4 linked regions of the Elephas maximus indicus genome follow. The protein of the gene in region 2 interacts with the protein of the main gene of each other region in a pairwise test. Links are inferred from orthologs where the notes say so. Each region holds a gene or a part of one and is shown on either strand. Other genes may lie near its edges.

Region 1 (7,080 bases), on a different chromosome or scaffold from region 2:
GCCTCCAAGACAGCCCCCGCCTCCTGGTATCCACAAACTTGAGTATTCCTCTCCCATATTGCACCGGGGTTGGTCTTGAGACCAACAGGAAGTGGAAAAAGTGATGGTGTGTCACTTTTTAAGACGAGGTGATAAAAGACCATCACTTCTGTCTTAGTCCATCCATCTGTCCCTCCCTCCTGGATCATGTGCTCTGGTAAAGTCAGCTGCCTTGTTGTAAGCAGCCCTATGGAGAAGCTAATAAAGTGAAGAACTGAGGCCTCCAACCAGCAGTCATACGACACAGCTTAGAAGCCGGTCCTCCGATCCCATTTAAGCCTCAGACGACTGTAGTCCCAGCCAACGCTTTTGACTGCAGCTTTGAGACAGATTAAGCCAAAACCACCTACCTAAACCACTTCCAGATTACTTACCCATAGAAATTTGGGAGCTGTATGCTGTTTAAACTGCTACCTTTTGGGGCAATTTGTTACATATCAATAGGTAACTAATAGAGAGAGGAATGACAACAGGGAGTTTACTAAACACGTCATTAATTACTATCTGTGTTGCCTTCCTGCTAGAAAACTTAAAAAACTGGATGCAGTAGTAGGGATGGGGAGAAAGGTGAAGAGCTCTTGTGGGATCCTTCTTATAAGTTATAGTCTTGGTCTGGGAGGAAGGTGCACAACCAGGCAATCCATAAGGAATACAGCCTTTGTGGCCTGTCTGGAATACCAACCCCCTTCTTCACCATCAGCAGCTCCTAGGCTCCATGCTACCCACTGCTGCCCAGTCAATTCTGACTCAGAGAGACCCAGTAGGACAAAGCAGAACTGCCCCATAGGGTTTCCAAGGCCATAAATCTTTATGGTAGCAGGCTGCCACAACTTTCTCCCACAAAACAGCTGGTGGGTTCTAACTGCTGACCTTTCTGTTAGCAGTGAAGTGCTTAACCACTTCACCACTAGAGCTCCTAGGCTCCATTCTAGCTCTAGCTAATTTCTCTCTAAAAATCTCTTCAGTAGTTTCCTTCATTTCTTTCTCTGGCAGGAGAACAAATAATCTCTTTTAAGATATTAAGAAGTATTTACTGTGCTAATATGTCAAAGCCTATGGAGTGACCCCTCCTAGAGACGTGATCGTGTTAACTTGGAAGACTAAAAGAAAAACAAATCTAAGAATGGAATTACAGGCAAACAGGTTGTTATCTGCAGGCCAGGGGCCGTTCTAGCACTTCCTAAAACCAATATAGTTTATTAGATCCACTGTTGGCTGCTGAAAAAGACGACCAGCAACTCACCCTCCCATCTCAGATTGCGGGGTGGTCTTGGTAATGACAATTGTCTTTCCAAGCTTAGATTCCAGGTCCACCTTGTAGTCCCTGTGCCGCAGAAGCTCCCGCTTGACGGGCTGCACTGGTTTTCCTGGAACACAATGGGGAGGGGAGCCCCTTCGATATCACAGTTCCACAACCAGAAAAGAAAAAGAAATGTATGAAACCAAAAATTCAGAACTCTACACTCATTTCTTGATTCCTGAAGCAAGGGACACAATGACACCTTGAAGCAGCAGCTAAGGAGAGCCTAAACAGAGAAATAAGTGATAAGCAATCCCCAACTTCTTATAGCTTTTCTCCAGTTTAAAGCCAGTAAGTCTAAAAGCAATGTGTTTTCTATTCATTGATTAACTGAGTTGAAGGGAGGAGTTTGCACAAAGAGCAACCTTTTGAAAGAATAGCAAGGACACTCAGTAATGCTCTCAGGCAGATACTCTAAACATAACACAGAAAGAAACCTTTGCAAGCTGCTTCAAAATAAAAGGGAGAGTGGGCGGGGAATGGACCCAACATTTAGGAAGTACCAGTTATGGGCCAAGCACCGTCATACATGTTACATAAAAAATGAAAGAGATTGTGGAGCAAGATGATGTGAGAATACAATGGAAGAAAAATGTACAAATTTGGAAATAGAGAAGAAAATAAGACATTCCTTTTTGTCAAGTGGGATCTTTATGTAGGAGAGAAACTCCACCTCCTCGACATTGTACAAGGCAAAGAAAAACAGCACTACCAAGCACTAGCTGAAACAATCACATGGTTCCCTGATGAGTATTTCCGCTGTTCTCAGAGGGTCTTGACTGGGTCAGAAATGTTCTCCTCTTCTTGAAGTAATTCCAAGGGAAAGAAGGAGTCCTCGATAGCAGTAATGCACAGCAGCAATACACACCACTTAGCTTCTTCTCTGACATTACTAAGAATTCCAAGCTCTGTACATCAGGAAAGCACCAAATGAACCAACCAGGGCTGGAAAGGATCTCAAAAACCACTTCAGTCCACCTCATCGCCCTCACTTTATACAAAAGAAACCGTGGATCAGGGGGACTATGCTCCGCAAAAGGTCACACAAAGTAGAAGAGGAGAAGCAACGCATTTTAACTCCTCACTCACTCCGATTTCATCGCTACTATGATACCACTGGCTCCTGCTTGGGCAAGCACTCACCATCCTTCTTTTCTCTCTCTTCCGTGAGCCTCTTCTCGGCGAGCTTCTCATATTCATCTTTGTCCCACTTTCGGCGAAAGTCCAAGTTTTTCGTCTGTGGGTAAAAAAGCACTCAAGATCCGTCGCTAACCATGCCTGGAACCCTAGAGAAACTGAAAGTACCGGATCCTCGTTGCCAAGGTGGCCCCAGGACCCTCCGAGAGAGAAGCCACTCCGAACCCGTAAAAGGAGGCTGAGGTGGCCTCGGGACCCTAACCCAAGACCTCTGCGATGCCGCTGATCCTGCGCCCAGGCCTTACGGAAGAACTCACGCACCCCAGACCCTGCGATCGCGAGGAGGTGTCGGATAGCCAGTCCCGTGCAGCAGTCCGTCTCTATTCCGCCCAGAGAAGGCCCCAAAACCTCCCCCTCACACAGAGCACTTACCCCGCTGCCCGACGCCATCTTCACTGCGAAGTGAATGGGAAGCTGGAAAATGTCGTAAAAAGCGGCCTTCGGGCGTAAAGCAAACTTGCTCTCCAATAAACTTAGAGTGTCGTTTTCTAAGGCTGCTAAGAACTGGAGGGCTTCTAAAATAGGCTTGTTGACCCCGCCTCTGCTCCAAGGAGACGGCGCAGGCGCAAGGGCAGCATGAAGCTACACGGAAGTAAGGGCACCTGCTAACATTTTTTTTGGCGTGGTTTTTCGCAAGAGCTACGAAGAGATTTAGTGGGGCTCCTCTGCTTACAAACGAGGGAACTTGGGGCTCAGAAACAGGTTCCTCTAATCTAACCTAATCAACTTTGCACACATTGTCATGAGTTTCTAAACCATCTTTAAGGATAAAGAACAGAGACTCTAAATGCCCCATTAGAATGGTGGTGTTGGTAAAGAATATTGAATATACTATGGACTGCCAGAAAAACAAACAAGTCTGTCTTGGAAAAAGTATAGCCAGAGCAGTCCTTAGAAGTCAGGCTGGCGTGAATTCATCTCATGTATTTTGGACATATTATCAGGAGGGATCAGTCCCTGGAGGACATCATGCTTGGTAAAGGGTCAGTGAAAAAGAGGAAGACCCTCAACAAGATGGATTGACACAGTGGCTGCAACATTGGGCTCAAACATAGCAAGGATAGTGAGGATGGCGCACGAGGGGGCAGTGTTTCCTTTTGTTGTGCATGGGATTGCTGTTGAGTCAGAACCCACTGGCCACCTAACAACAGATGCCCCATTCACCTGCATAAACTAGAGCTATGGCCCTAAGCTATGCTGAAGTGTTTGCAAAGGTCAAAAATGTATGGGAAGCACTTTTTGCACCTTATCTCTTTTTCCTGAAGCAATGTTATCACCCCTTGGTTAACTCATTTTTTCCTTCGGCTAGGAACATTATAGTCATTCAACCTATACAGTACAATTTAATGAACATGATTGGACTTGGGAAAGTCACTCATCAGCAACACTCTTTGGTGAAGCACTCTGGCACACGGCTCACTGTATGTTGATTTTCAGCGATACGACAGAGTGTGGCTGCTCACTTCACTGAACGAATAAACATCATCCCAAGGAGGTTCCAGTTTTCCAGTGTATACTCAAGTATTTTCTATGGCCTATTCCCGTGATAACAAATTATTCAAACTACTACATTTAATATTTTATTTAACATATCCAACCACTTATAAAACAGCTACTCCTATGGAAGGGCAGTCCTGGTGGCGCAGTGGTTAAGAGCTTGGCTGCTAACCAAAAGGTCAGCAGTTCAAATCCATCAGCCGCTTCTTGGAAATCCTGTGGGACAGCTCTACTCTGTCCTACCCAGACAACTTGACAGCAAAGTGTTCTATGAAGGGGCATGGAATAGTCAGAGCGGTGACTCTGGCACAGGAAATGATCTCCAAAATCTCAAAAGATCAGATTTTCATCTTGTCAGTCACCTATTAAGTTCGACATTCAAGATCTTAAACAGACAGCCCCACCCTGTTGTTAACAATGGATGGGCTAGATACCAGATCAATCTGGCTACTGTCTTGCATCCAGTGGTGTAGCATCTCTGTCTTCAGACATTAGCAGAAAGCAACCACTGCCTCTTCTTGCTGTCTCCAAAAACTCCCTGGACAGGCCAAGGGCTGGCTGCAGACAAATTCACCAGCCTCAGCTTCAGAAGCTGCAGTGGAAGGTTAAGTATCATGGTTCTGATCTCAACTGCTCAGTCCTCTCAGCCTGAGGTGACTCTCCGAGAGCTCGGCTCACAGCAACCATATCAGCACCTGTTGGCAGCATTCAGTTGGCACTTCAAACCTGCCATCTGCCTCTGCAGTTAGAACATGTCTCTTTACAGTATCAGTCATCTGCCCCTACGCAGAATAACTGCTCACACTAATGACTTGAAGCCACCGGACACAGGAGTCCTTAGGGCTTTCTATTAATTTTGTAACAAGGAAGGATAGCAAAGGCAGAAGGCGCTTGTCACCCATCCTGGACAGCAGTTGTGATATCCATCGGGAACTCAGTCCTAGATGAAACTTTTTCTACGAAGAGCAGAAGATGACAGTCAGGCAAGGATCAAGAATCAGATAGTCGCTTCTGAATTTCAGCCACAAGATGTTCCCGTTTAATGGTCACCTGAAACATAAAGAACCCTCATGTGACAAGCTCAAAAGTGATACCAGCTCCTTAGCCACTGCTTTTCTAGATTCATATTACTCTGCATCTGCTCCCACTAATTAAGCAACCCACAGGAAGTAACGTGTGCTTCAAGTTGACATGGAGAACATATGTCCTCAAGAGTAAAGGGATTCAAATGCAAATACCTCATCTATATCTTTTGTTGATTAGTCTCAAAGTATGCATTCAGGTTGCATCTGTCCTTCTGCCTACCTGGACAATACTCATTGGCTGCAATAGTTATTTGGGGTAGATCTTCATTCATCTCTATCCCTATTAACCCTGGGGATATTTCTCCAGCCAGAAAATATGTATTTCTTAAAGAATCCAGGAAAGGTAGAAACATTGATTCCATCTATCTCTGCCTGCCCCCACTCACCTCCTCCTTGCTGGCCACTGAACGGAGCTTGATGATCCCTTCCTTCATTTCTTGCTCACCAATAATGACCACCAGTGGAATGCCCATGTTCTCACAGTAGTGCAGCTGGGTTAGTAGTTTAGGGTTGTTCTTGTACAGTAGCTCAGCCTGAAAAAGGTAAAGACAGAGTAGGAGGCTTAGAAGTCACCACAGCACACAAATCATAGGAGTAAGTATTTCCAAGGGAGCCAGAAATAAGTGGCTGGCCCTCCTACCCTAAGAAGCCACTCTAATGAAGACTAAAAAGGTCTGGAGTTTCAGCCTAAACATTACACTGGGATTAACTTCCACATATTCCTAGGTGGTCTGGATATCAGCTCCACCATACCTTGATCCCAGCATCCCAGAGCTCTGCAATTAGCTTCAATCGTTCTTGGAGAAAATTCTTCTGTGGTGTGGCCACAAATACTTGAGTCTCTGTGGTCCGTACCTTTTCACCAAAAACCTAATAAAAGAAAGAAAAAATAGCAAAACTAGTAAGAACTTCTTTGCATCAATAACTCCAAAAGATATAAAGAGTAGTAAGGAAAATGATCCAACTTCACCTCCAGAAACGTGAGGGGTTTTTAGGCCTTTGGCCCCATTCACCCATACCTAGGACCTACCTTCATTCTCTGCTCCACAATAGAGAAGATCCGCTCCACTCCAATGCTGAGCCCCACACATGGCACCCTGTGGCCCTTGGGGTCAAACATGCCCACCAGCCCATCATAGCGCCCACCAGCAGCCACACTGCCCATGCTCAAGGACTCCTCTCCAGCCTGATTTGGGGTCTGTAGAAAAACTGCTTCATAGATCACTCCTGTATAGTAGTCCAGGCCCCGGGCCAGGCTTAAGTCAAAAGAGATCTGTGGGGACAAAACTATCATCAATCTCAGACAAGACTTAGAACCCTGGGAGCCCAGGGCTCAACAGGAAGCCCACTCTCAACTCATCTTACCTTCTCAGCAATTCCAAAAAGAGTCAGGTATTCAAACAGCAGCTTCAGGTCCCTCAGGCCCTCCAGGACCTGCTTGTTCTGGGACAGTCTGGAATCCTGGAACAGTTGCTCTACCAGGGACACGCCACCTGGGGAGACATGTGGTGAAAAATAAGGCCTATTATTTTCATCTAAATGTGTTTCATCCAAATTTATCCTAAATGTGCTCCAGCCAGACCCACTCATTTTCTTAAAAAAAGATCATATGACCAGGTGCCTCCTCTGCCTCTACCTTTGCCATCTGAAAACACAAAGTGGCTACAGTAAAAGGGGAATTAAATTCAGGCCAGGCTCTGGAGCTCTGCACCATCTCTGGAAAGGAGTAGTTTCAGAGGCAGAAGTTGTACACATGTCACCCTTACCCTGGTTCTATCACATAGCTCTGAAAACCCTGGTTCTTACCATGACGTTGGACGTAATCCCCAATTCTATCAGCCACCTCAGGAGCCAGGCTCTTCTTTGTCACCATCTCGTGTCTCACATCTTTCCAAGACATCTGCGTAATACCCAAACATTAGCTCGGTCTCAAGACCCTTCCTTCTCTAACTGGAAAAAGAC
Region 2 (7,334 bases):
GATCTGGAAAGTTGAATGGCTATGCCCTGGAAGGTGAATAGGTATCTTATTTGGAAGAGTACAACTTTAAGAATAAAATACACTAAGTTCTGACAGAACAGGAAGGGTTGGTGGGATAGCTACAAGATAACTTAGATCCTAGATCTGACATTTGCGGCTCTATCTTTCTTAGAAGAGAATCAAAACAGTAGGACCCAATTCTTAAAGAGGAAAAACGGACCTCCCTAAGTTTATAGCTCTAGAAAAAGTGTAAATACTCCCTGACCCACACAAAAGTTTGCTGAGTCATGAATATTAAATCAGTAGCAAGGTCAAAATGGATAAGCATCTATATGGCACTGAGAACTGAGGAAAGATTAGTCTGAATTTAGGGATTTATTGTTTTTAACTGAGGCCTTGGGGCAACAAATGCTAAAGTAGCCACATCACCTGACTTCTAGCTCAAGTCCAAATTCTACTCTCTAAATCAAAGTATCCTGTCCCTAATTCACTCAAAAAGCCTGTCATTCCCATAGCCCACAGAAGAAGTGGGAAAGATCCAGAGACAGACTCTCTGTTGAACACTTGTATGTGGAAAGTGAAATATCTCCCTTTCCAACAATGTCATACAGTTAATTTGAACTGGATACTCAATCTTTCCCAGCTGTGCTTGGCTCCCACGCTTCCTAGAACAGAAACAGACATCACAGCTTCATCTCAGACTCAATTTAAGAATCACCTTTCTTGGAACCCAGAAAGGACCCAGATGAATGACTAGGGGAAGTGAGGCTAACATCTAATGAGGAAGGGTATTTCGGCAACGGTAATATGAATTCGGGGGAAAGAATATAAGAGGCAAGTATGCTCTATCAGAACCAGACAGAAATGAGAGACTTTCTGCCAAGGAAAACAGAAACGCTATTACAGGGGCAGGCTTGAAGAAAATGTCCCAAGAGTAGGCAAGTATGGAGAAAAAGATGACAGAAGAGATCAGCTGGAGCTTCCTTCCGCTGGCTAGGAATAAGGTGGTTCCTGAGGATAACGGAGGAGTATAGAAATGTTACAATAAAAGTCAAAAAAGTGAATTGAGAAAGTTAAGATAGACAAATAGGGGTACCCACAGTTACTGGATATAAAGAAATCTGGTGAAGGGAGTAAGGCAGAAATGGATAGGCATTTAGAGTGGGGACGTAATGAGTACACTGAACCTATCAATTGAAGTTGGGGCAGAAACCATCCACTCCAAGGGCAAATATGAGACCCTTTCCAGTTATAGTGAGATATGACTTCACAGAGGAGTTGGAGAAAGTCATTTCCAAGGGCATGAAGGTATAGATGTCTACTGTGGGAGAAAAGATTTGAGGGAAAGTGGAGCAAAAGAGGCTCTTTTCACTACAAGCGATGTCCTGAGAAGATATCTCTTCCCAGCTCTTCAGGGCGACATGAAAGATACAGACAGGAATCAGGGAAGTCTCTAGACAATCCCAGGCGTAAGGTCCAGAGAGGTTCAGAATAACAATGGTTACACAAAGAAAAATTCTTGGGAAGCAAAAAGGGTCTCCCTCTGGCTTAGTCTAAATGGGAAAAACTGAAAATTCAGAACTTCTGTGGAATCAAACTCTGGAAGAGGGGGAGTGGACTGAAATAAGCAAGGGTCTTTGAAAGCTAGTCCCCTTCTCCTTCCCAAAAAGACTGCTGTCAGATTCTCAAATTAGGAGAGCTGGCCAAAAGTCTTCTAAAAGTGGAAATCTTTAAGAAGAGGATAAACAGAAGGGACCCTTTTAGTGTTCATGAAGATGGAAAAACTACGGATGATCTAAACATACGTAAGGTCAAAGTGAAATAACTAATGCAAGTTAATTCCTGGTAGAAGAGTAGACCAACTGGCCCTAAGATAAATGGGTGGGGTGAGAGGCCTGGGAAAAGATGCCACCTTATGGCTGGGGGGCAACTGGATTGGAATAATCCAGAGTTCCTGAGGTCAAAGATGCCAAATACCATAAATGAATTTTGACCGTTTCTCCTCAGGCTGGCAACAGGAATACAAGGTGAAAATGGGTTGGGTTTCCCAGAGCCAGTGGGCAGAGGTCTCTCAGAGGAAGATGAAACGATCTAATATGGGACAGCCTTCCCATGGGGGAAGGAGGGAGAAGAAAGAGAATTCTACATGTGCTCAGGCTGTGGAGAAATGCTATTCTAAGGTCTGTCTTCTACTGTGAAACAGAAAAAGTCAATAAGCTGGGTAAACGGAGTTGTTTTCTGGGGGGAGGAGAGAGACACAAATTCAGACACAACAATGCCCTGACAGTCATTCTCTCTGACATGAGATAAAAAGCGGGTGTGATAGAGGGTCAAAAACAAGAGGAAGAGGGTTAACTCCCAGAGGTCTCCCCCTGAGAGCTGAGGGTGGGAGCGTGAGTCTAAGGTTCTAGGGGTCAGGACTCGGCTCCAGAGCTCGATCCCGCCCTGCTCTTCCCTGCTCTGGCTGGGGGAGGGGGTACAGGCAGGTGTCCCCGATCGGCGCGCCGCCTCACCTTGTAGAAGGCCCCGTTGGAGCCACGCACCTCGACGGGCAGTCCCGGCTCCACATCCCCCCCAGAGGCCAGGCCGCCCATGGCGCCGCCACCGCCTCCGACTGCCCCGGCGGCGGCTGCAGCAGTGGTCTGAGTCCGGGCCGGGCCGGGCCCCCGGCGTCTCCCCGGAGGAGGAGCCGGAGGGGGAGCCGCGGGGGGCGGGAGCCGGGCCGGCCCCACGGCGGCCCTGCCACAGCCAACGAGCAGGGGGCCGGGGCCGGGCCGCTCCCCGTCCGCCGCCGCCGCCTTGGTCTCCGCCACCGTGAGGGAAACGGCTGCCGCCGCCGCCGCCGCCGCTGCCTTCGTCACCTCAGCTTCCGCCCGCCGCCGCCCCCGCTGCCGCCTCAGTCCCGGGACCCGCTGTTGCCGCTGCCGCTCCACGGCCTCCACCTCCCTCTGCCGCCGCCGCCTACTGCGCAGGCGCACCGGGCACCCGCCCGCCGCGCGCGGGGCCGGGAGGGCCACGGCGCAGGCGTCAAGGCTGGCGACCCCGCTCGCGCTCGCCAGCGCATCGGGACTTCCACACTCCCTTTCACTCTCTCACGCCCCCTCCTGGTCGCTGACTTACGCTTGCGCAGAACGAGTTAAGCGTTCTTCACTGTCCCCGCCCCCCTCTCTTCCACACTCCATCTCTTCCTTTCCCCGCCCCACAACACTGAGAGCTAGCCAATCATGGGAAGGGAGGGACCAAGCTCACTCAGTCGGATTGGATTTCTGCTGGTTCTGGTCATACCACAGCCGCTTCACCACTAGGAGCCCCACTTGGCTTGGCTATGTTAGAGTTGGGCATGCGCCTGAATGACTGCTTGGTCATTTTCCCCACCTTTTGTCTTTCTTGGTGCGCACGCTCCAAAGGAAGAAAAAAAAAAAAAAAAAAAAAATGGGTCGGAATGCCAAAAAGTGCCTGATGCGCGTGCGCTGTCCACAAGCGTGTTTTGAATTTCTTTTACGCTCCTACAACTTTGTGCTATAGGAGACTTAAGAGTTACGGTTCTTGCCTTGAGAATACAAGGAGATCCTGGTCATGCATATAATGAAAGATTACAGAATAATTTCAGGGCAACACTGGGAAATGGAACTTAGATTGGCACAAAATCTTATATCTAAATGCTGAGAAAATTCAAAATAGGAAGAATTGCCGGGGAGTAAGGGTTTTTTTTTTTAAGGGTAGAATGAGGAAAACTTCGGATTCTTGAGCTGAGACAAGTGAGAAATTTAGGTAGAAGTGAGTTAAAGAGCACAGAAATTAGAGTCGTGCGTTGTGCACTTCATTATTTAGTGAACATTTATTTAGCCCCCACTGGGCAGTTCTACTCTATCTTATAGGGTCGCTATGGGTCCGAATTGACTCCATGGCAACGGGTTTTTCCTTTTTTTTTTAATGTATTGGAGCCCTGGTGGCACAGTGGTTAAGAGCTCGGCTGCTAACCAAGAGGTCTGCGGTTTGAATCCACCAGCCGCTCCTTGGAGACCCTATAGGGCAGTTCTACTCTGTCCTATAGGGTCACTATGAGTCGGAATCCACTGGACGGCAACAGGTGGTGTGGGTAAGTTTGGTTTAAGGTGGTGCTGTGGCTAAGCTTTCTACTGCTAACCAAAAGAGCAGTGGTTCAAACCCATCAGCCGCTCTGCAGGAGAAAGATGTGACAGTCTGCTTCAGTGAAGATTACAGTCTTGGAAATCCTATCCGGCAGTTCTACTTTGTCCTATGGTTGCTATTTGTCAGAATTGACTCAATGGCAACGGGTTTTGGGTTTTGGATGTTCAGTCTGTGCTCAGACTAAGCTAAAGGTTGATGATTCAAGCCCACCCAGCAGTACCACGGAAGAAACAGCCTGGCGAACGGCTTCTGCAAAAATTACAAAAGATAAAAAATTGCCAGTGAGTCAATTCTGACTCATAGCGAGCCCCAAGGGATATCCAAGGCTGTAGATCTTTACCAAAGCAAACTGCCACATCTTTCTCCCGCAAAACAGCTGGTGGGTTCAAACCACTGACCTTTCCCTTAGCAGCTGAGCATTTTAACCACTGTGCCACCAGGGCTCCCGTTACAGCTCTCTATCTCTGTCTCCTGGATCTAGGAGGTTCTCAGTGCAGCGGTCCCAGGTCCAAAGAACACACTCTACTCCTGGCTCTTCTTTCTTGGTGGTGGTGAGATGCTTCCTTCCCACCTCTGGGATGGCTCATTTTAAGCCTGGCAAAACTGACCAATCCCCTTGTTAGGTTTCCATACACCTTATTTGCATGGCCCCACCCACCACAAGGGTGCCATGCACCTGACTTAGTTATTAGCAAGCTATCCAATCCCCTTGGTGGGCCACAAGCACCTCATTTGTCCTCACCCAGTAATTTGGTGAGAGTTACAAAGACTATGGCTCCTCAAACTGATTCTTATCAATAGTGACCCTGTAGGACAGAGTAGAACTTCCCCATAGGGTTTCCAAGGCCATAAATCTTTCCAGAAACAGATTGCTACATCTTTCTCTTGTGGAGTGACTGGCGGGTTCAAACTGCCAACTTTTAGCAGCCTTGTGCTTTAACCACGGCACCACCAGGGCTCCTTCGGACTGTGGCTAGAAGGGCCATATTAAGTAATTCACTGCGCTGCAGACAAATATTTAAACAAATGCACAGAATGTGATTGAAGATGTGATAGAGATGAGGACTAGGTATAGAGGGAAGCCCCAGGAGACAATGGTCAGTTGTTCTTAAGAGTTGTCAGGGCAGACCACACAGAGGAGGTGATGCAAATTGAGATTCGAGGCATGAGTAGGAGTTTGCTAGAGGAAAAGTGTGTTAAGGGTATTCTTGACAGAATAAAGAATACAATGTGCAGAGGAGCAGAAAGAGCTTGTCCTTCAAGTAGCTTAAACTAGCATTTGGCGTGAAGTAGGGAACTGCAGGAAGCTATGCTGTAAAGGACTTGTAAGTCAGATTAAGGAGAACAGCTTTTATTTTATCAATAATGGTAGCCATTGAAAGAATTTAGGCGGTAGCATCAGGGCCGATTATCCAATAAGCAAGGTAAGCATGGTGCTTACCTTACCGACCAGATCATCTGTAGTGAACAATCTCACATGGGTTTCTCCACATTTGAATCTCATGTGAGATTGTTCACTATAGATTAGTAAGCAAGCACAAGTAAGCCCGTGCTTACCTTGCTTACTGGGTTATGCACCCCTGTCAGGGATTGTAATTTAAAAAGAGGCTTTGATTCTGTACAAAGTGCTGTGGGGTTGGGAGACAGATGCCAGCCATACCTAAAAGCAGACTCTTTGATGTGGCGAAAAAATGTAAAATTGTTCACTAAAGACGATCTGGTAAGGAAAGCAACACCATGCTTACCTTGTGTAGTCCACCCCTGAGTAGCATTATATGATAAGATTTGCATTTTACAACTGTGGTGAATGAATTGAAGTGTAAAGGTGGTCCTGAAAGCCCTGAGACCTGGAAGGAGCTGTTGCCAGTAAGAGTGATGAAGAAGACCTACCTGGATTAGGGCTATGGGCAACAGAGGTACAGGCTGTTAGGTACAACCTGTTAGATTTGAGGTAGAATCAACAAGAATTGGTGATGGAAGGTGGAGTAAGGTGTGGTCAGTGAAGAAGTGGCAGGAACACAGGACGAATCTCAGATTTCTAACTTGGGTTACATGCTGAATAGTGATGCCGACCACAGAAAAGAGAACACAGAGGCATTGGTTTGGAGAAGAAGGTGATGAGTTTAATGAATTTGGCTTTGAACTCCTTAAGTTTGAGCACCTGAGGGCCATCGAGGTAGAGATGTTCCCTTACCTTCAACAAATTTCTCTTTCAGATACCAGCTTAAATATAATTTTCTTAGCCTTCCACTATTGCCCACACTAGGTTAGGTCCCCTGTTTTACACTGTCGAAACATCCTGTACTACTTTATGGCACTCGTCATGGTTGTAATGTAATAATTTGGGCATTATTTCAGTCTCGTCTTTCTTCAGCCACCACACTGTAAGCTCTATGAGATCAGAGACTGGGTTCTATGTCTATTTGTCCCCACCATTGTATACCCTGTACAGGGAATCAATGTCCTGCAGGTAGACCTGGACTAGAGAGGTAGATGTGGGAATCATCACCATATTAGTCATAAAGTTGTAGGAGAAAATTAAAGTGCTTTCAGAAAGCACGGACTTCTAAATACATTTCAAGCCCTCCAAGCTCTAGTTCAAGCCAATCTTAACCATGCTTCCTCTCCAAGTCTGTTGCAGCCACATCAGATTCTTTTCAGTACCTCAAACGCACTACATACTGCCCTCTAGGCCTTCTGCACATGCCAGGCCCCTGTCTGAAATGCTGCTCTCCTTTTTCCCCACTCCCATCCTTTACCTGAATGAACAAAGACTAGAGCAGATAGAGGAAAAGTCAAACCTGAGAGGACCATTGGTGCCAGAGGCTTGGAAGTTGGCACTTGTGAAATTTCTATAACAAAATTCAGTCACTCCTTACTGCTTAACAGTCAAACCCAAACTCTTTAGTCTGACAGCCAGCACTCTTCTCTTGATAATCTGCCCCATTTAACTTCTCTAACTCCTCCTGCTTCTTATCAGAATCACTGATGACAGTCTTCTTACCATTTCTATCACCCTAGTTTCTGCTGTTCCTCCTCAGTTGCTCTCAGAAGCACCTCTTCTTTTGCCAAGCCTTTAAATACTGGTATAGTTCAGAGTTCCAACATGGACCCTATTAATTTTTCAGTCTATACACACACACAGTTTCCAATCAGTACTTTAGTGTTCTATTTTAAATACG
Region 3 (7,658 bases), on a different chromosome or scaffold from region 2:
CAAAATACCTGTGGAAAACCAGGGATCCTCTCTTTCTCCTGTGTTCTTTTTCTGTCACCCATCCCCTTTTCTCTCCCTCCCTGTCTGTCTTTCTAAGATTCAGGGGTACAGAATAACTTTCAAACAACCGCTTCTACTGAAAGTACCCTTGGAAACAGAAGTTTATCTTCAGTGTTTAATTTGCTAGATTTACCTGATTTTTAAAATTGATTTTTGTCTACAAAGCTCTGGCGGCGTAGCAGTTTATGGAGCTGTCTGTGTTTCTCTTTTACTCTTTCTTTGGTTTGTCTTGCCGTGTCTGGTCATGAGTTCTTAGTTTGCTAGGTGATAATATGAAGATTCTTTTGTGTCTGAGTACTTGTGGTGAGTTGTTTTATGTAAGATTTCTGTGTGACAACTGATAATCAGGCTCTTGATCTGCTTCCTTAAATTGCTTTCTTAGAGCCCAAACCCCAGGTTTAGGGCCATAGTTTGTCATACAAAGAAACACTTTGATCACTTCTGCCCTTAACACTTGCCTCTGTTACTTAAGGAGTAGTTTTCTTAATATCGTCCAATGTTTGGTGTTATCTGCATTTTTTGTTTTGTTTTGTTTTTTAATTGTGGTTGTTCTAATGTGTGAAATTTAAGGAAAGAGCCATTAAAAAATGCTGAGCAGGGCAATGCAAGTACAGCCAAATATTAGAGTTGATGTGCAATCTTAGGTTCTTTTTAATCTGGGGTATTATAGGCAGTACTTTAAATGGGAAAGTCTTCCTGGCCTATTTTGCCCCACATTTTTGTAGTTACTCTAGGGGCTTACTTGTTTTGGCAGTGCTAAAATCAAAGGAGCTGGTTCCTCTTGTGTTCTCAATTCTTATTTAAGAAAACACCCATAATTAGCCTGTAGGTTCTATTCATATACATACATCAAAAATCAGTGAAGGTTTTTTTTTTTTTTTTTTTTTTAGCACATTTAAGTATCTTTGTTACAGAAAATTACATGAGGATAAAAACCAATGTCCTTCCATTCTGTATCTTGTTGGACTTGTAAAATGCCAGTAATTTAGAAACCCACTCCCCCATCCCTCCCTTAAATCAAGGAGGTAGAATATATTATTAACGTAAGGGTCAACTAAAGCAAGTAAATTTTGTTTTCAATATTTGGGTCGTATCAGGAAGGTTCTTCCTATGGGAAAAAACTAGCTAGCATCACAACATTTTGCAAACATTGGGGAGGGGAAATGCATGGCATTATGAAACTCTGAGGATCTATTCCAGTTTTCCTGTTTTTTTGGCCCGGATAGCAATGTCACCGTTCCTTATTTACAAAAGGGCAAATTGACTCTAATCGAGAGAAGCTTGATAGGTCCAAAAAGGTTAGTTGTACAACATGAACCACTTAAGAGTCTCCTGCTTTCCATGGGAATTTGGCTGAACTTACTAGGGAAAAATTGTTGTGCTAAGTAACATACAAAGGCCCTAAAATAGCTTGATTTTTTTTTTTTTTTTTAAAAGATGGTAAGCTTAAGGAATTGCATGTTGTTCTGAAATGCAGAATTATAGAGTGTTTTTCTTTTAAAACAGGCTGATTACATATATTGTTTTGCTGTTTTTTTTTCCGCCCCTGGCAAAGTTTGAGCTCCTATTTAAAGTTCTTTTGTCAGTTATTTTTCTGGTTTAAATTTTCCTTATATTTCCACCTGTAATGTCAGTGGCAGTGACATCATACTTGTTTACTTTTTACCCTTATAAGAGCAAATTGAGTTGAACTGAATCTTCCTTGTCCTAGTAACATTGTATAAATAAATGAAAGAAGTGGCTTCTCTGTACAAAAGGTGGTAATGCCTCCTGATGGATATAATTTTGTGATTGTATTTAAGATTAAAAGTTGAATAAATCACACCAGCTTCCTGAAAATGTTCATAATGCATCTTTTGGAAAACAAAAATACCTGCCTACTTCGTGCAGATTTGCATTAACATGGCAAAGATTGTATGAAATACCTGTTTTTCAAAAAAATAAAGGTTCAGTCTCAAAAGATGTAGCATTTAAGCTCTGAATTTATTGGTCAAAGTAGATTCTACTTTGGGACATGGGTTGCCTTTTTTTTTTTTTTTTTAAAGCAGCAATATCTTAAAAAAATTTTTTTTTACCCTCAAAGTTCTATAATTGAACAGCAGTGGAAATTTTACTTCAATGGGAAAGTTCTTAGTCTTAAGGATCAATTTGATTAAGCTTAATTTTGGCAGTACTTCATAACAATACTCCCAAAGGTCATTACTGGCATAAAAGAAGATGTGAAGTGTATATTCCCTCGGATGTGAAAGTTCTGAAGAAAAATGGCATTAAAATGCCCAACTTGTTTTGGTATTTGAAGTTGACATTTCTTGGTGCTAGATGTTACTACCACCCATCTGCCAGCTTGCCTTACTGTGGTGGCTTGCATGTTGCTATGATGCTGGGAGCTCTGCCACTGGTTATTTCAAATACCAGCAGGGTCACTCATGGTGGACAGGTTTCAGTGGATCTTACAGACTTAAGAAACTAGGAAGAAAGGCCTGGTGGTCTGCTTCCGAAAATTAGCCAATGAAAACCCTGTGGATTACAACAGAATATTGTCTTGATACAGTGCTGAAAGATGAGTCCCTTGGGTTGGAAGTTCACTCAAAATACACAGTGGCAGCAACAAGGGACTCAAGCATGTTGAGCATGCTAACAATTGGGAGATAGCACAGGACTGGAGGACATTTCCTGTTGCACATGGGGTCGACTCAGTGGCGACTAACAAAAGCAACAGGATTTGTGTTAATTGCTCAGTCACGTGGCATATTTCAAAAGCTCACATCCTGTCTAGAGTACAGATACAGCTCAGAAGGAAAGCTACTGTGTAGTTTTTGTTTTTAATTAGGCCAATTCAAAGTCTTAGTGACAGACTGTATAGCAGTGCCCCTAGGCTGTGAATTTGGAAATAGGTTTGGGAACACATTCCTTGAGTAACAATACTCCTTGGAGAACCCATGCTCTTTGAGTTGTCTTTTTTTTTTTTTTTTTTCCAGCTGCCTCACTTTCACAATCTGGTTTTAAGAAAGCCTTCTTAAGCAGTACACAGGGAACTTGGGTGAAACCAGAAGCATTTGGTAGCAAAAGCGGATTTCTCAAGAAATGTCAGCTTTTAAAGCCTACTAAAAGCTCTATGTCTTCTCTGGATGTGGGTGTTGCTGAGCCTACAGTGAGATTGTGCACTCATAGTTTTTACTAATTATGTGAATTGCTGCTGATTGTTTAGGTCCTTTTGCCTTTTATCTTTCTTTTGAAGAGGTGGGGGAGGGCCTGCCCCTCAAACTCCATAGCTTTCAAATACCCCTAAATGGGGTCTGTATTTTTTTCCTCAACATCTCCCAAAGGAGAACTTACTGGGGAGTTCCTTTTCCTTGCAAAGCTTGTTTCGCAAGTGTTTTATCAGACCCAAATGCTTAATTTTTTCTCCAAGATACACAGAAAATTTCATAGCCTTTTTTCCATGAAATTCGCAATGCTCCTGCCTCTGCCTGGCTTTCTTGAGGCAGTATGTGGTCCGAACTATGTTCTTTCACCTATCTTTTTGCCTTCCTTTCTTTGAACTGTTAAGAACCTGGTAATTAATGAATATGCTTAAAAGAAAAAAAAAAGGATAAAAGTTGGAAGTTAAACACTGTGGTTAACTTACCTGAAACAACATCTGACCAGGCAACTTTTTTTTTTGGTATTGAATAATAATCAAAGCACTTGTTAATACATTTTGAAATCCTAGATAGAAAAAGACTTAAAAGTGTCTCTCATAGTTCTACTTCCTAAATTGCTTGTAAAGGGGTTTACATCTTAACATGACCTCTCGTGTAAAACCAATCCCTTTTTGGAGATGGAGCGTATAGATTCTCTAAGAAAACGCTCCACAATTTCCCCCAAAGTCCTCATGTAAATAAGCCAACTTTATAAATCGGTGCATTTTTCACGGGTTCTCAAGAGACTACGACCCCTCTCCACCACCCTTTTTTTCCCCAAGCCAAGGCCTTATCGCTAACTCGGTAGGAGAGAAAAATTGCAGCAAAATCTATGTAAATGCTTTTACTTGTCCACAAAAAAATCACGATGTGGGCACAAGTCACAAATCTGAGCTGAACTGCTCAGTGACATACCAAGGGGAAGAGAGAAGGGATTTTTAGGCGGGGCCGTGGAGGGGTACTGGTCTGATGGGCTCCGGTGCCCACCGACCGCCCTAACCACAACGAGGTTAAGGGCCACATCCCCTTCTCCGCCTGGCCCTGCACAGCAGAGGGGCTCCTTAACCGCATTGGGGCTCAGGGGAAGAGGGTGCGAGAGCTGCCCATGCGTCAATTACAGGGATACCAACGCTGAAACAAGCCCCTGGCAACGACCGTTCAACCGCTTCCTAGAGCTCAGGGTGGGCCGAGCACATTTCCTGGGCGCTGATTGGCTACTCCCTGTCCCAGCCTCCTCGGCCGCCTCAGCCTGTCTCTCCTTTGGCCTCGATTTCAAGCCATGCGCTGGGCAACGGTTGGTCCGGCTACCCTTCGGCTTGAGCTCGATCTGCCCAATGAGGAGGGAGCCTCGCGGAGGCTGTCGGGAAAGGCAGCCTGCCTATATAAGCACTTGCGGGCCGTACGCTGGCGCTGAGGTCGCCGTGAAAGCTCGGGGCGAGGTTTTTCTGGAAGGAGCCTTGAGCTGGCTTAGGCGGCACCTCAGGGACGATGGCGGAGGGCGATAATCGCAGCACCAACCTGCTGGTGAGTAGCGGCGGCCCATCGCGAGGAAACTGAGCAGGGCTTCCGGATTTCGGCGGGCCCAAACCGGCGACTGCAGCGGCCTCGTTCATGTCACTCGCGGCGGGCCCAGCTCTCAGGCGCAGGCGACGCTGCCTGCCTCTCGGGCTTCCTGGGTGGCGGTCACTGGTCGTATTGACCCCTGTCGTTAGCTGGGGAAGGTGCGCGACAGGGCGAGAAGGGCGCGTGATTTGTCTCCGCGATTGGGGGTTGGGGAGGAAATGTGAGAAAGGGGGATCGGCAGGGAAGCCGGGGTGCAGGCCGGGCGGAGGGCGCGGGGGCCCCAGGCGGATTTGGGGTTCCCCCTCTTTGGTATTACCCGGACTGGAATGTAGCTTTTTTCTCTTTCTCTAATACTTGGGACAGAGGTGGAAGGTCAAAGGGCTGCTGCCCAGTTTCTTTTAAAGCTGGCACAACTTAAAACGGCAGCGAGGCTCCGAGGTCACCGCAGGGAACTGGGAGTGGGGTCCAGCTGGAAGGACAATAGGACGATTTGGCGTTTGCCTGGACTTTGAAAGGCTGTGGGTCATAGGGCGGCTGGAGACAACTTTAGAATAAGCAGGAACCTGAAGGAACTACAGTGGGGTTGTATCCCAGGCTCACAAATTTAACTGCAAGACCTAGGCAAAAACAAGAGAGAAATCTTGGATTTTGTCCGTTACCCTACTCCCGGGAAAGGCTGGCCACACCACACAGCAAAGAAAAGAGGAACTGAAGCATTTAAATCTGTTTTTGAAACAGTCCAGGTGCTAACGAATTAAGTGACTTTGCCCCAGGCAGTTTTGATTGTGCATGATTTTCACTTTGTAGTGGTTTTTAGAAATGCATGGCCTGCCCCCTTAAAAATACAGAGCACACAACTTCTGGGCTGCCTTTTAAGAAGATTGAGGCACAAAGAACTCACACAGCTGTTGAAATGACAGATTCTGGTCTAGACCTTGGAATCCCGCACTCAACTACTCTTTTCCAGCAGAGCAGAATAACTTGTAATGTGAGCAGAGCCTTTGGCCTTGGGTTTCCTTGGTTCAAATCTGTTCATCTCTGTGTATGTATCTCAGTTTCTGCATCTGTAAAATGGGAATAATAACACCTTCCTTTTAGGGTTGTTGGAAGGATTATTTGAAGTATAAGCATATAAAATGCCTAAAGTCAGAAACATTCAGGTCACCTGAGTGAGCAATGTGGCATGAATAGCATCTTTATTGAGATTAAGCAGAACTGCCCCCTGTCATTTCCCTATTTCCTAGTGATGACATTTATAAGGATGCTTAGGTGTTCTGTTTCAATTTGTTTTTCTTTTACCAAAATCAATTTAAGGGCTTTTGCCGCATTAGCTCATCCTAGAGGTCCATTTTCAGCCAATTGCCAGATTTGCAGAGGAATTTGAAGTCTAACCAGAATGTCCTAATAAATAACAGTATTGAGGAGATATATTGAGCTTAAAATGCCACATATAATTAGGCAAAAGTAGTTTTCCTTGATTGTACAATGATGGCAACATCTACGTGATTCCATTACCCAAAAAACTATTTTAGGAGTTGAATGCTGTTCAGAGAGAGGCTTTCCTAATGCATTTCGAACTAAGGGTTTCAATCAATGAAACGACAAGAACAACAGATCAACTCTAAGCACCTGAAATGAGTGAACCTTAAGTGATCTGATTTTATAAATACTCTGGGCGCTACCACTTAGTAATGTATGAGGCTGGGAAAGTTAACATTCTGAGCTCACTTTAATTGTAAAATAGACCTAATTGTCCCTACCTCAAGGGCTCTATGTAACATGGTGTTACATCATGTATGTAAAGTAGCCCAGTGCTTGGACTTGGAATGGGACCATTAAGCGATAGGTTTTCCCCCTTTGGTTTCCTTCTGTGAAACCAAAATTACAGGGTCTTCAGAAACTAATTGTGAGGTAGCGATTTTACATATTTGGTACCTTTGAAGAATTTAACTCCCTAGGAATCACAGAAATGTTGAGATTGGTAAAGTGATCGCTTTGAATGTTGATGATATGTAGGCTGCAGAGACAGCAAGTCTGGAAGAGCAGCTGCAAGGCTGGGGAGAAGTGATGCTGATGGCCGACAAAGTCCTCCGATGGGAAAGAGCCTGGTTTCCACCTGCTATCATGGGCGTGGTTTCTTTGGTATTTCTGTAAGTGAGCTATTGCGTTACTGTGGTGTGTGCTTGCTGTTAATAAGGGCTCAGGTAATGCACAGCCTCCGTTTATGAAAGTGTTTTAAATCTTACGTATATTCTGTAGAGAATGCCATTTCTTTCTTAGAGCAGTTTGCCTAGTTTTCAGAACTTGTATTTATGTAAACTCGTAACCTAATGCAGTTAAATAAATCAGTGGCTCTCAGACTTTTTGGCCTTAAGACCCTTTATACTCTTAGAAATTGTCGAGGACCCCAGAGACCTTTTTGTCTATTGATTTTTACTGTACAGGCAGACCCTGGATTAGGAATGAGTTCCTGTCCGAAGTCAGTCTTTAAGTCAAATTTATAAGTTGGAACAGTTAGGTACAGTTTGTATCTAACTTCAGTTAGCCAAATGTTTCTGCTAGTATAGAGTACATAATGTACCTTTCTTGCGTAAAAACATTAAAGACACACTTCCAGATACACTAAAATGTCTTTAACGTAATAATACGGTAATAATAATGTTTTGATGCGTGTTGCAAAGTAGCACCTGTTTATTATTAGGAACCATTGTATGTACCTCGAATTTTTAATATAATAGGTTTTACGGGGAGAGGAGGGTTTATAGGGCTTGTAGGGGTTTGTTAAGTTGGATGTTAGTAACCCGGGGACTGCCTGTATTTGAAATTAAATTTTTTTTTTTTTTTATTATATAA
Region 4 (6,998 bases), on a different chromosome or scaffold from region 2:
AACTCTGGCTGCAAGGGCTTCCTGGGGTGATCAGTGAACTCGGCCTGCGAGGCCTTTTTAGGGCCCGCAATGAACTCGGGCTTCAAGGGCTTCCTGGGGTAATCGGTGAACTCAGGCTGTGAGGCCTTCTTGGGGCCTGCACTGAACTCGGGCTGCGAGGGCTTCTTGGGGTGATCAGGGAACTCAGGCTGCGAGGCCTTCTTAGGGCCCGCACTGAACTCAGGCTGCGAGGGCTTCCTGGGGTGATCAGTGAATTCGGGCTGTGAGGCCTTCTTGGGGTGCTCGCCTGGCACAGGCTGTGGAAACTTGGGCAGTTTGTTGAACTCAAGCTTCGGAGGTTTCTTGGGGAGTTCACTGGGCTCGGGCTGAGAGGCCTGGAACTTTGCTTGGAGGCTCCGGAAGTCCTGATGGCCCTCCTATGGGACACGGAGCCAGTCAGGCGGTGACTCTGATACAGAGGGTCGTGGGGACACACATAGACAATGTCATAGACACGCACCACCATCACCATCCCCAGGCTTCTCTTCCCTGGCCTCAGCCCTCATGCCTTTCTCTTTCAAGGATCCCCCATATTTTTTTCTTCAGCCTCCCCCTGAGCCCAAAACAAAATAAAACCCAACCAGCTGTCGTCGAGTCATTCCAACTCATGGCAATCCCATGTGTGCAGAGTAGAGCTGCTCCAAAGGGTTTTCAGGGGTGACCTTTTGGAAGCAGATTGCCAGGCCTTTCTTCTGAGACACCTTGAGTGGGTTCAAACTGCCAACCTTTCAGCTAGCAGCTGCTTAACCATTTGCAGCACCCAAGGATGACTCTCTGAGCTCCAGGCTCCTGTAACTATGCCCTCCCTCACCCCCACTCACCAGCAGGACCTGAGCGCCCGATTGCCTGGTTTCCCCAGCCTGCTGCCCCCACAGTCCTCTCTCAGTGATGGTGTCTTCCCGGTATCCCTGACGCCCTCCTCCTCTCATACCCCGTTTCTCCAGTTCCTTCTGTTCCAACTTCCAAATACCATCTGGAATCCAAACACATCTCACAGCCTCACCACTGTCACCAGGCCCAAGGACCCTGCCTCCATTCCTGGATTATAACAGGCTCCTCCAGGCCCCCACCCTTCCCTCACCACCTCCGTCAGTTCCCCTCCCCACCCTCCACAGCAGCCACAGGACGCCCGTTAGGCCCCAGCTCCCGCTGCTCCAATCCTGCTGCGGTTCCTCGAGTGCCCACTAAACGCCAGAGGCCTCGGCAAGGCCCTGGCTCTGTCCCAAGTGCCCTTGAAGCCCCTCGTCGAGTCCCAGGGCCACCTCCTTCCCCACTGCCTCCTTCCACTCCCCTTGTTGCTCCTTGAACTACCTTCCCTCCCATCTTGGGGCCTTCGAACTTGCCCTTCCCCTCTCCTGGGACACTCTTCTCCACCACGTGGCTCTTTCCTCTTCCTCCTCCAGTATTTGCTTATTAGAGAGGTTTTCCCGGAGCGCCATATTGTAAATTGGTTCCCCTTCCCCAGTACTGAGTTCCCTGAATGGCGCAAACAGTTCAATTCTCAGCTACCAACCGAAAGGTTGGTGGTTCACATCCACCCAGAGGCACCCCAGAAGAAAGGCTCATTGACCTGCTTCCGGAAGATCAGCCACTGGAAACCCCAGGGCGCACAGTTCTGCTCTGACACGGGGTCGCCATGAGTCGGAGTTCACTCGAAGGCAGCCGTTTCTGGGTGGTGTAAACAGTTAACCTGCTTGTCTGCTAACCAAAAGGTGGGTGGTTCACGTCCTCCCAGAGGCACCTCAGAAGAAAGACCTGACAATCTACTTGTGGAAAGGGCCTATGGAGCAGTGTTCTACTCTGACACACATGGGGTCGCTGTGAGTTGGAGCTGACGTGCCAGCAGCTGTTCTTTTTGTTTCTGTACTACCTACGTGATTTTTCCCTTAGCAGCTGCCACCGTGTGTCATGCCTTTTATACATACACGGACACACACGCACACATTTTTTATGTGTCCTGACAGTTTTTGTTTTGTTTGTTTTTTTGCCTCTACCCCCACCCTCCGCCCCTGGAAGAATGTAAGTGCCGCCAGGGCTGTCATCTTCGCAGTGCCTGTCACGAAGTAGGTGCTCAGTAAATGTCTGTTAAATGAAAATACACAGAGAAGCACAAAGGTATCGTCTCAACCATGTACAGTCTGTTACAGACCCACGTGGACATGTGTGGAGGGACACACGGACCTGGGCTAAGCACAGGCACACGTCACAGACACCAGGCAGCAGCGGCAAACAGTCCACCTCAGGCACCCTCCCTGGCGCTGCACGAGCCCACAATGCTGCGGAAGGCTCCTGGCGACAGGCACGGGCAGGCGCCCAAGTAGGGCAGGCCCTTTCTGACCTATAAATTCCCCCCAGGTGGCCCTGCATCAGACCCCTGAGCCTGGCTTTCTGGGGGTCAGTAAGGTTGGGGGAGGAGGAGGCAACAAGCGGGAAGAGGGAAGGACTGGCCTGACCTTTGCCTCACTCTCCCTGTCGGGAGAGCCAGGGGGTCCGGATCACCCCTTGGAAAGACGAGGACCCCCGCCAGGGGCCTGAACCGTCTCTGGTCAAGCCCCCAGCTGGGCTGGCTGAGTCCAGGGTTCCCAAGTGACCACAAGGCCTGATAAATCAGGATCAGCAGGTCATGATTCAGGTGAAAGGGAGATGGGGATGGGAGGTGATGATGTATGACCCACTTTGTCACGCCACAGGAAGTCCCTACTCTCATCCCGGCCTCCCGTGACCAGGTTGCTGCTCATGCTGACCTGGGAGGTGGGGAGTGGTCCTGGGCTGTCCCACCTGTCCCCCTTGCAGTCACAGCCCAGCCTGGCCTGCCCTCAGAGCCCGAGCTGCCCTGGAGCTGCGCCCAGCTGCTTCCTACCTTAGGGCCCTTTCCGGGTCTCAGCCCCACTCCTAGGCTCTCCACTCCTACAATGTGCCCACTACTACCCATTGCTCCTCCTTCGCTACCTCAGGTATGGGGCTCTCCCGGGGTTGGGGACTCACCATGGCTGCAGGCAGGTGACGGGCTGGGGCGCGTGGGACCCGCGCCGGGCTGCTGCCTTCAGGAAATGACTGTGGCTTCTGCTCTGGCCAGCTCTCAGGGGTGGGGGCTGCTGGTGGAAGGCAGAGGAGGAAGGAAAGGAGGCGGGGACTACCCCAGCCTGTCCTTAGATCCTGCAGGTACCTCTGTCCCCCTTGAGTTCCTGTCCCACCTGCTGCTGCTGTCCCTGAGCTTCAGGTGCTGGGCAGTATCCATGCCCAACAGGGGCCCTAGCTTGTTAACTCTCTGTTGCCCTCTCCCCCGGGGGTACTCAGTGCCAGGCCTTGGGGGCCTTCTGCCTCCAGAGAGAAAGGCCCCAGGGGAATCCAGCCCTGGCTGGAGCCTCCGATGGGGCATCCTGGGTGGGAGAAAGGCATGGTCAGACCTGGGGAGCCCCCAAGAGCTGGGAGAGGGGAGGGGTGTGCTGTCTGAGGCCTATTGCCTGCCCTCTTGCCTCACTCACCTTCCGCATTTCAACGCTTCCCCACCAGCTGCTTCCCAGCTCGGACCCAGACTTCCCTGTCACACTGCGAGGCTAGAGGGCTAGGGCAGACAAGCTGGCACAGGACCTGGCCAGGGTGGCGGATTTGGTTGTGGTGATGGAAGTGGTCAAATGCCCTGCCCACGGGGGGGAGAGGGGGGAAGAGGGGGCCTGAGGACACCCCAGCCCATCACTTCCCTTCTTGAAAGTGTGAAGGGGAGGAACCAGAGGTGACAGAGGGCAACAAGGTGGCAGAGAGGAGCTGGAGGCAATGGGAAGGACCAGTCCAGCCAGATAAAGGCAGGTACTGACAGGGGCCTGTCCTTGGAGGTCTGCAACCTCACGGGGAAAGCCTCCAGTTCAGAACATTGGAATTCCCTGAGGAGTTGACAAGACAAAACCCTGCATGGATTCTGACTTAACTGGTCTGGGTGTGGCTTGGGCTGTTGTTAGTTGCCTTCCAGTGGATCCCACGTCTTGGCGACCCCACATGTACAGAGCAGAACTGCTCTGTAGGCTTTTCTTGGCTGTAAGCTTTACAAAAGCAGATTGCCAGAACTTTCTTCCACAATACTGCCTTAAGTTGTTAGTTCCTGTCGATTTGATTCCGACTCACAGCAGCTTCATATGTGCAGAGTAGAACTGTATTCCATAGGGTTTCAAGGCTGTGACCTTTTGGAAGCAGATGGCCGGGCCTGACTTCCATGGCACCTCTGGGTGGGTTTGAACCGCCAACCTTTGGGCTAATAGGCACTTGACTGTTCGCACCAGCCAGCCACCTGTGGCCTGGGTACGAGGATGTTTTAGGCCTGCAGAGCTGATTCTAATCTGCAGCTACATTGAGCAGCACCAGAAACCTTGCTAAGATGCAGATTCTGACTCAGCTCCACGATGGGCCTGATTCCCCAGGCCCCCCAGTGATGCCGGGACTGCTGGTTCAAAGACCACACTTTGAGTAGTGAGGTGGGAATGAGCTTATTTGAAGAAGGGGCAGACAGGGAAGGCAAGCCGGCCTGTCTTGAGGACGGTGCCTTCTGCCTTCATCCTCTGCCCTTCAGAAGGGAACTGGCAGCACCTTCATTTCTGTGTCTGCATTAAGAGCACAGCCTCGGGATTCCGGAGCCTCCAGGCCACTTTGCAGGTGTAGGGCCCCTTCCAAACAGGGCCCAGCCAGGGTCCTCTGGGTCTCCAGCCTCAGCCAGCAAAGGCTGGTTGGAAAAGCACCGCACGGAATGTTTGGTAAGGGAATGCATGAATAAAAGAACAAATGATTATTGGCCAAGAGCATACAGTAGATGCTCAGTCAAGGTCAGCGAAAGGACTGACAGCTGGTGACTCGTGGGCAGGGGAGCCAGCGGGCGGTGCGTGTGGCAGGCCGGGGAAAGCAGGTGTGGGCGCGCGGTCCCAGCACGGCCACCAGGGGGCGTATCCCCCCCCCTTTGTGTGTTTGGCGCCTTCCCTGTGGAGCTGGGGCCTGGGTCCGCGAGGCCAGACATGGACAAGCGGCTCCACTTGCAGCTGCGGAATCGGAACCCAGCAGAAGTTATCAGGGGGCAGGATCCGCCTTGGGGAGCGGGGTTTCGCTGGGGCGCAGCCTGGAACACTGTGGACTGGGGAGGGGACCAGGCCTGGGAACTTAGACGCTCGGGTGTCCTAGCGCGGGGGGCGAGGGGCCTGAAGTGCGCAGAGAGCTGAAGCTGGCACGCCCGGTCCCTGCGCAGGAGCCCGGGGCCATGTGGCTGGCTGCCCGGGTCAGGGGTGGCGACACCCGGGCAACCGAGGGCCAGGCTCAGCCGCACGTGGTCCGAACAGTCCGAGGCCGGGGGTAGTCTGAGCACGTGGGCGGCCAATCCGGGGGGCGCGTAGGGGGGGCCGCCTGGGGGGGGGGCGCAGAGTCCGGAGCCCGGGATCAGGGCTGGCAGGGACTGCGGGTGCTCCACCCAGGGTCCGGGGACGCGCCCAGGAAGGAGCCTCCACCTCCCGGCGCCCAGCCTGGCGTGCGGGTAACCGAGCCGGCACCCGCAGGTGACCGAGCTGGTGCTGGACAACTGCCGGGCAGAGGGCCGGCACCTGACTGATCTCACAGCGGACTTGAGCCGCCTGGAGCGGCTCAGCCTGAGCTACGTGAACCTGCAGTCGCTGGCGAACGTGTCCTTGCTGGGCCAGCTGCGAAAGCTGGACGCCTGCCGGAGTCAGGATGCCCTAGCTCATCTCATTCATTCCCTCTAGGGACAGACTTCTGGGCGTTCTTTGCTGGGCCCAGCTGCGGCCCTCACAGGACTCATCTCCAAGGCATCCTGGAGTTGGAGGGGGTACCTCTGTGGGTCACGGCTTAGCTAGAGGAAAGGGAGCCAGATCAGAAGGCTCCCCAGGAAACCAGACAAATGTTGACCTTGAGTGGGGGAGGCTTGAGGATAGGAGGTAGTTGCTGGAGTGAACACAGTGGTTGGTGGAGGCCAGATCCTGATCCAGCTCCTGGGGCCTTCGGTACAGTTCCAACTTGTTCCAGAGGGCAGCTGGGAGCGGTTCCCTCCACAGAAACGATGGGCTGGGGGGACGGCCCTGGATAAAGGCGCTGGCTTTGGGTCTCTGGAAAGGTGCCGCCAGATTGGGAAGTGGTGTTGCCTGGATTTGGGGGAGGGTGGGGGACGCTGGAGGGTTGGGTGTAGGGTGATGGAAAACAGTAATTACGTGATGATCATTCGGCAATTAATTCTTGATCACCTATTACATACCACAAGAGCACTCGTGTCGAAAAGGTTAATCACTCAGCTGCTAGCCGCAAGTTTGGCGGTTCAAACCCACCAGCCTCTCTATTGTAGAAAGGAGTTGGCCGTCTTCTTCTGTAAAGATTACAGCCAAGAAAACCCTATGGGGCAGTTCTACTCTGTCCTATAGGATGGGAATTGACAGCACACAACATTATGTTCCAAAGGAGCCCTGGTGACATGACGGTTAAGAACTTGGCTGCTAACTGAAAGGTCAGCAGGTCAAACTCACTAGCTGGCTCCTCAGGGGAGAAAAGACCTGGTGATCTGCTTCCGTAAAGATTACAGCCAGTAAAGTCCTATGTGCAGTTCTACTCTATTGCCTGGGGTCACTATGAGTCACAAGCGATTCTACAGCACCTAACATCATTATGAACCAGGTCCCTGGGCTGAGTGGTGCAAATGGTTTGCTCTCAACTACCAACCTACGAAGAAGAATTAACCGAAGAATTGATGCCTTTGAATCGTGGTGCTGGCGAAGAATATTGAATATACCATGGACTGCCAAAAGAATGAACAAATCTGTCTGGAAAGAAGTACAACCAGAATGCTCCTCAGAAGCAAGGGTGGTGAAACTGCACCTTACATACTTTGGACATGTTGTTAGGAAGAATCAGTCCCTGGAAGACTTCATGCTTGGTGAAGTACAGGGTTAGCGGAAAAGAGGAAGACTCTGAAGGAGACGGAC

The links.
Region 1: the proteins of FXR2 (region 2) and ZMAT2 interact in binary tests that used the Homo sapiens proteins (3 or more experiments, as listed by UniProt). The two-hybrid records come from large-scale screens. The link is inferred for Elephas maximus indicus from reciprocal best matches to the Homo sapiens genes FXR2 and ZMAT2.
Region 3: the proteins of FXR2 (region 2) and ARL6IP1 interact in binary tests that used the Homo sapiens proteins (3 or more experiments, as listed by UniProt). The two-hybrid records come from large-scale screens. The link is inferred for Elephas maximus indicus from reciprocal best matches to the Homo sapiens genes FXR2 and ARL6IP1.
Region 4: the proteins of FXR2 (region 2) and PRAM1 interact in binary tests that used the Homo sapiens proteins (3 or more experiments, as listed by UniProt). The two-hybrid records come from large-scale screens. The link is inferred for Elephas maximus indicus from reciprocal best matches to the Homo sapiens genes FXR2 and PRAM1.

The regions. Positions count from the first base shown.
Region 1 is NC_064820.1:153,927,632-153,934,711, reverse strand, and holds the start of ZMAT2 (zinc finger matrin-type protein 2), read right to left. Parts: upstream 3,018-7,080; 5' UTR 2,927-3,017; coding exon 2,909-2,926; intron 2,577-2,908; coding exon 2,483-2,576; intron 1,407-2,482; coding exon 1,283-1,406; intron 1-1,282. Other genes in the region: histidine--tRNA ligase, mitochondrial, read right to left, coding at 5,024-5,083, 5,505-5,651, 5,872-5,988, 6,149-6,391, 6,484-6,611, 6,925-7,018. UniProt on the Homo sapiens protein: Involved in pre-mRNA splicing as a component of the spliceosome.
Region 2 is NC_064837.1:13,168,353-13,175,686, reverse strand, and holds the start of FXR2 (RNA-binding protein FXR2), read right to left. Parts: upstream 3,011-7,334; 5' UTR 2,595-3,010; coding exon 2,514-2,594; intron 1-2,513. UniProt on the Homo sapiens protein: mRNA-binding protein that acts as a regulator of mRNAs translation and/or stability, and which is required for adult hippocampal neurogenesis. Specifically binds to AU-rich elements (AREs) in the 3'-UTR of target mRNAs.
Region 3 is NC_064830.1:78,618,495-78,626,152, reverse strand, and holds the start of ARL6IP1 (ADP-ribosylation factor-like protein 6-interacting protein 1), read left to right. Parts: upstream 1-4,643; 5' UTR 4,644-4,730; coding exon 4,731-4,766; intron 4,767-6,821; coding exon 6,822-6,955; intron 6,956-7,658. UniProt on the Homo sapiens protein: Positively regulates SLC1A1/EAAC1-mediated glutamate transport by increasing its affinity for glutamate in a PKC activity-dependent manner.
Region 4 is NC_064821.1:13,197,449-13,204,446, forward strand, and holds the start of PRAM1 (PML-RARA-regulated adapter molecule 1), read right to left. Parts: upstream 3,001-6,998; 5' UTR 2,747-3,000; coding exon 2,493-2,746; intron 1,708-2,492; coding exon 1,610-1,707; intron 1,013-1,609; coding exon 861-1,012; intron 417-860; coding exon 1-416. UniProt on the Homo sapiens protein: May be involved in myeloid differentiation. May be involved in integrin signaling in neutrophils. Binds to PtdIns(4)P.